Linked DNA regions of Caenorhabditis elegans. The protein of the gene in region 2 purifies or fractionates together with the protein of the main gene of each other region. This does not show direct contact. Each region holds a gene or a part of one and is shown on either strand. Other genes may lie near its edges.

The links. Proteins that work in one complex are often made in the same cells at the same time.
Region 1: the proteins of ugt-37 (region 2) and snr-5 fractionate together in Caenorhabditis elegans (co-fractionation; one large-scale study listed by BioGRID). This does not show direct contact.

Annotation. Positions count from the first base shown.
Region 1 is NC_003281.10:7,860,363-7,863,231, reverse strand, and holds snr-5 (putative small nuclear ribonucleoprotein F), read right to left. Parts: upstream 1,163-2,869; 5' UTR 1,161-1,162; coding exon 1,064-1,160; intron 1,014-1,063; coding exon 911-1,013; intron 804-910; coding exon 746-803; 3' UTR 658-745; downstream 1-657. Other genes in the region: putative transporter slc-17.3, read left to right, coding at 1-90, 139-292, 345-590; cuc-1 (Copper transport protein ATOX1), read left to right, coding at 2,293-2,301, 2,381-2,453, 2,500-2,627.
Region 2 is NC_003283.11:7,143,715-7,147,474, forward strand, and holds the start of ugt-37 (glucuronosyltransferase), read right to left. Parts: upstream 1,605-3,760; 5' UTR 1,591-1,604; coding exon 1,447-1,590; intron 1,064-1,446; coding exon 754-1,063; intron 704-753; coding exon 593-703; intron 292-592; coding exon 1-291. Other genes in the region: ugt-38 (glucuronosyltransferase), read right to left, coding at 1,942-2,116, 2,165-2,397, 2,441-2,526, 2,590-3,213, 3,257-3,566, 3,613-3,756.

The DNA of each region.
Region 1 (2,869 bases), on a different chromosome or scaffold from region 2:
AAGTTTTGGGAGTTCCTTCTCACTTATTTTACTTGCATTCTTTGTCGATTGCTCTAATCCAACAACTGGCCTTATTTTCTTCTGTTTAATGTGAGTTTCGATACTTTTCAGCGACTTTTCCAAATTTAAAGTCTTCAGGTATAGCTCAATGGGAACATTTGTGAGTGGATTTTACACATCACTACTCAGTTTGGCACCACAATATACTGCAACCATGTCTGCAATTTCAATGTTTGTTGCAATGATTGGTAGATTGACAACTCCTGCAGTCATGAGCATGTTCAGAAAAGACGTAAGCTATTTTAGAGATTTTTGACAAATCTACTTGCTATCCATATTCTTAGGGAACCGCTGCGGAGTGGCAGAATATCTTCATAGGATGCTCACTGGCACATATTTTCTCTGGTTCAATATTCTTGTTATTCGGATCAGGAGAATTACAAGATTGGGCTAAAGTTGAGGATGATCAGGAGATGAATGAGAAAGAGAAGCTGAAGACAATTGAGAATGGTATTGTAGTTGTTGAAGAAGTAGATGTCAAAAATGAAATGAGCGCCACGTTGGTGAAAGAGGATTCGCTGTGTCTTTGATAATTTACATAATTTGCTGATGATTTTTTTTTTCATTTAATAAATATTTTAAAAACTTCTTTAATAAGATAATTATAATTTATTGATTAAGAATGTGCGAAAAAGACAGAAAACTTGTGAACATAAGATCAATTGTTGAGAAGGGTTTGAAGAATTTAGGCACTCGTCTCGTTTTCTCCGTCCACGCCTCCCACGTAGAGAACGTTGTTGCATCTAAAGTTAGAACATTTTTCAAGATTTACTACGATATAAATGTGCATAAGATTGTAATAACTTTAGTTTCTACGGCTTGAATTTTTTCTTTTAAAAAATGCACCAACCGGATAAGAATCTCTCCGAGATTTCCTTGACTGTTTCCGTCAATGTACTCCTCGGCGTGAGCCAGCTGCAGATTCATGTAGGAGTCGACAGCAACAAGGACACCTTAAACATTTGGCGCTTTTGGTGAAATATTTCATTATGTCAATACAAACCTTTGTACTCCATTCCCCACTTCAGTTTGCAAACGACAAACTTTCCGGTGAGACTGTTGAGGAACGGTTTTGGGTTCACTGGTTGAACTGCGGACATTTCTGAAATATTTTTAAATAATATATTTTGAAACGAGGGATATCGAAAATAGTGAAGGACACAAGTAATTTAAGCAATAAAAATACATTCAAAGCGTTTCCGAATCACAATTGTTATGTTTGAACAATTTAAGAAGTTTAAAACCCATCTGACGGTTTTTTCAGTGAGATGGAAAGATGTATCTATTTTCTAATAGTGACAAAGTTGTTTTAATAAACATAAACTCAACAAAACACATTTAAAAAGGTTAAAACGCTGCGAAATCCTCCATAAAAATGAAAAAAGAACCTTGAATTTTCGAAAGTTGCGCTAGCATCAGATAATACGACATACTGCAGACTGCGTATGCGACACCATACTTGACGACATAAAATTAATCATACCCATGCATCATGCATGAAAAAGATGTGGGTTTTGGTTTTTTAGTTAATTTAAACTGAGTATTTGTATTTTCCGCTTTTTCAATGTCCTTGTACTTTTTGAGTTTTAATAAGTTATGCTATCTAAATATAGTTAACTTCTCTTCAGCCTCGAATATCCTGCTAAATGGCTTTCGGACTACTGTAGATGATAAAACAGTTCTTTATATAAGGCTCTATTTCTTCCAATTCACAACATTTAACAGGCTCCATCAAAATGTTATCGTCTTTATTTTTCTCTTTAACTGATCACCCTTAAAATCGATAATTTTCTCACCCCATAAAAACGCTCGTTTCAAAGTAGAAGATGAGTGAGACGCCGAGAAAATAGAGAAGATGCATTAATGCAAAGCTGTGACGTCATTTGGTGTCTTTATCCTGTTTCTAAGCTTCTTTCTCATTTTTCCATAAATTTTTCCAAAAAGTAAAAAAAAAAACTGGAAAACATTTAAAAGTTGCTTAAACCATTCGAGTTGTCCCATCTCAATAGTTCCTTTTTTAATTATCGCAGTTTCTTGAAAACTTGATCAAAAAATGTCGAATGATGCAAATTCTCAGAGATAAAGCATTGACCACGAGTCGCCCTATCACTGTCTCTCCATTTTGCGTCTCTTTGTTCATTTCTTTTCGACTGTACTAATTCCAATCATTCAAATTAACGTTTTTCAGGCAAGCAGAAGCAGAGTTTCCAGATTTCTGACTCAACAAATATCATGACACAGGTAAATTATTTAACTTTTTACAAATTACAATTAAATATTCTCATATTTGTGAAAAAAAAAATAATTTGAACATTTTCAGTACGTTTTCGAAATGGGCATGACATGCAATGGCTGTGCAAATGCTGCGCGAAAAGTTCTAGGAAAGCTTGGAGGTTTGGTTTACTTTTTGTTAATCAAATTAATCCTATTATTCTACAGAAGACAAAATCAAAATTGACGATATTAACGTGGAAACCAAGAAAATCACAGTTACAACTGATTTACCAGCATCTGATGTACTTGAAGCTCTGAAGAAAACAGGAAAAGAGATCAAGCAACTACAATAAATGACCCTTTTGATTGTCTCTTTAATTTCTATCCGAATGGTTGTGAATATCGTTATTTTTTGACATTTCTGTAATTTTTGTATTAATTTATGACTCTTGCTTGTAAAATTGTCCTATTCTAAAAATAAACGCATTTTCTAAACTATAGATTTTCTGATGCAATATTTCATTCGAGTTCTTTTAACCGAAATAGAAGGTTTCAAATGTAAACACCTTTTCATGCATTGAACCTTATCCTTATT
Region 2 (3,760 bases):
GATCCCATTCTTCATTCACTTTGTGGATTTTTAGATTCTCAACATCAACTGAGATTCCTCCAATTTGAACATTTTTCTCCAATGTTGGACGGGGATAGTCAATATATGGATTGGAATTACTGAGTATAAAAGAGCTCAAATGTTCCATTTTCTGAATATCAATGGCTTGATATGGAGGGCGGAATGATTTGAATTCGTGAGTTGGAAGAAGCGAATGGAAAATTGGAACAGCAATTGCATTGAGAAGCCGCTCGGTCATTGTCATTTTGTCAGTGAATTTGGACATAGGAACTGAAATACTAGTTAGTTAACTGTTAATAATGTTTCCATTGTGATCATTGTTTATCCAAAATTATTATACATATCTATTCAAAATGATATCACTCGATTTGTGGTCACAATTAAACAACTATTGAGTAGATTTTTCACCATATCAAGAAATAGGGTTTCAACTGGATTCCGCACAAAATTTCAAGTCCAACGTGCTTAGTTTTTAATGCTTAGTTTTTATGCTTAGATTTTCCAGTTAGTTCCAATTAAATATTTTTAAGACATTCTTTGATCGACTGTATCAGCAAAAAGGTCTACTCACGTGGTACTGTACTCGGTATTCTTGGCTCTCCAATTGATATTAATAAATTTGGATCAAATAACAATGATGACGATGGAATAAATGTTTCAATTTCCAGATATTCAAGCAGAGCTGAAATTCAATTACATTTCGTTCAATTTTAAATTTCAAGACCAACTTACGATATGCACATTCCGCAAATCTTTCAAAAATCATTACATCAAATTTCATTTCTTTGAGCTCATCGAGCACATCTAGATTCTGCCCCAATACAAATGCTTGCTCAGCAAACATTTCATTAAAAAGCTTAATCATTGGAAACATCTCAGCCATCGAAGAGTCATCAGTCCAAAATCTGGATATATCCACATCTTCCATCTGATTTCCGTATCGCTCCAGCTTTTCAGAGGGTTCCAGGTGGATCACGTGTTTTGTGTGTTTCACATAGTTGATCTTCGAAAACTTTCTGATGATTGTAGGTGTGAAAAATGTCTAAAAAATTGAATTTTGGAAACAAACTATTCGTTGACTTTTTTTTAGCGTATTGTTTTAAATATGTAGATTTGAGGTTTTGAGATAGTTAAACGTTTCATCCAAAAATATTACATAATTAAGTTCAAGAATTTCAAACTACACTCGTCATCTATTAATTCGTCTAATTGGAAAAAACCCTTTTTCGATTAAAAAACATTTACCAGACCTGTCTGAGAGTTCTAGTTAAATATCAAAATATTAACAACTCACTCTAAACAATCATTTCAAAAAAAGAGACAGTGTGCACCCTGCCAAGAGGTTTTGGGAAAATGCCAGATTAGGCGGTGATAAACTGAATCATTGTTTTTTAAGTCCATTATATTTGTAGTTCGAAAACTTACTACATTATGCCCAGCTTCAGAAAGAGTATCCGCAATTTTAGCAAAGAAAGTTGTGTGGCTATGACCAAATAATGGAGAGAAAATTAGAAAATTATAAGAAAAATTTACATTGAAACAAGCAAAGAGTAAAATAAGAATTTTCATCCTGATCAATGTTTTCAGACAATTTATTTTTCACTATTTATATAAGGTCTCTCATTTGTATCGGCAGATAACACAAAATAGTCAGAAATTGGTCACATTAATGTATAAAGTGTGTGTGACCATGTCTAGGCTAGACTTTTGTTGTTATTTCAAGTTCATATTATTGTTTTTTTTTCTGTTTTTTAACGATTTGGTTGGACTATTTGAAAAAAAATTACTTCCTGGTAGATAGTAATTTAGTTAAAAATCCACTGAAATAAATAATTATATTATTCAAAAAAAAAACCATTATAACAAAAATTGAAGAGGCTACACATGGGTAGAAAGCGCTTTTATCAAACACTCCATGCATCATTCAGTTTTTCTTTTTATCAAAAAGATATCAAATAAAGACTGTACTAATTTCGTTACTACAAAAACTACAAATGTCAGTATAAAAACACAAATGGCTGCGACGTCAAGCAAGAAATATTCAACGAAAGACATTTTTCTCGAGTATGGATCCAGTGATGGTAGACGCCCAAATCTAGAACTTGAATAATAATTTTATCTTAGTAAAATATAAAAAACCAACCTGGCTGCATATTCAGCATGTTTAACCATCATTTCTTTCGGTTTAATTGGCTGATTCTCAAGCTGTTCTGCTAATTTCTGAGCATTTTTTGCATATGAAGAATCAAACAAAATTGCTTGAAAAGCTTCAATAATTTTCTCAGACTTTCCCAGATCATATTTCGATAGCTCGATAGATCCATTGTGACGGACAAGCATTTTAGTATTTCTCATTTGGTCGAATAGTTGTGGGCACTAAAATATTACAATTTTATAGATTTGAATAGTTTTGACATACCAAGATAGCAGGTTTACCCAAGTAGCTGAGTTCAGTGATACTACCAAGTCCGGCGTGAGTAAGGAAAGCAGAGAGACGGGAGTCAGCTGAAATAGAATAACTGAATTTTAGTTTTTATGTCTTGAATAACCGAAGGAATACAAACTTACCAAGAAGAGCAGTTTGTGGAACCCATTTTGCAAAATGAATATTTTCAATTCCTTTTGCGAATTCGTCAGAACTATCATCTTCATACTTCCAAATAAATGTTACATTTTTGAACTTTTCCATTGCATTTTTCAATGCTATTTTATTTTTGAATGGCATATCCTTTGAGTACAACATTGATCCAAATGACACTAACATTGTTTTTTCTCTCAACTTGAGAATTTCTGACCATGTTTCATCAAGTTTTTGACTTCTCAATTCATTTGAATCAACTGATATTCCTCCAATTTGAATTGTTTTTGTGAGAGTTGGCCTTGGAAAATCAACAAATGGATTAGAGTTGAGGAATACAAATGATGCCTCGGGAACGATAGATCTTATATCAATTGGATTGTATGGAGGTTTGAAAGATCTATGTGTGGGGTATCCAATCATAAAATCAAAATATGGAACCATGAATGCATTGAATGCTCTTTCAGTTATTGATAGTTTATCACCAAATGGAGATAAGCAGTCTGAAACTACACTTGGCATAACTGGTTCACCAATTTCTACTGCCAATGCAGTGTCGTGTGCAACAGATAGAGATGGAATAAATGTTGGGATTTCCAGATAATCCATCAATGCTGAAAATAAAATATCTGGCCTGTTAGATATTAAAAAGCTTACGATAGGCTGAAAAAATAAATGCCTCGAAAATGATAACATCGAATTTCCGTTTCTTCAAATCATTCAGAATTTCGATATTGTCCTTCATCACTGTTCCCTGCTCATTATACATTTTTTGAAAAATCCGAACAACTGTGATAATTTCTGTGGCCGTTGAGTCTTCAGTCCAATACCTGACAAAATCTCCTGTACTCATTTGTCTTCCATATTCTTTCAGTTTCTTCGAAGGTTCCATGTAAACTACATCTTTCGTTGATTTTGTATAATTAAAGTTTCGGTATTTTTCGACAATTATTGGTGTGAAAAATGCCTGAATAAAAGTGTCAATTGATTAATTTCTGATTTGAAAATCGTACCACGTTGTGACCAGCGTCTGTTAAAGAATCTGCAATTGTTGCAAAGAACTTTGAATGGCTATGAGCAAACAATGGGCAGAATACTAGAAAATTAAATGAAGAAACATTTGCATAAAGCGTAAATAATAAAGCTAGCAGGAGCATTAGG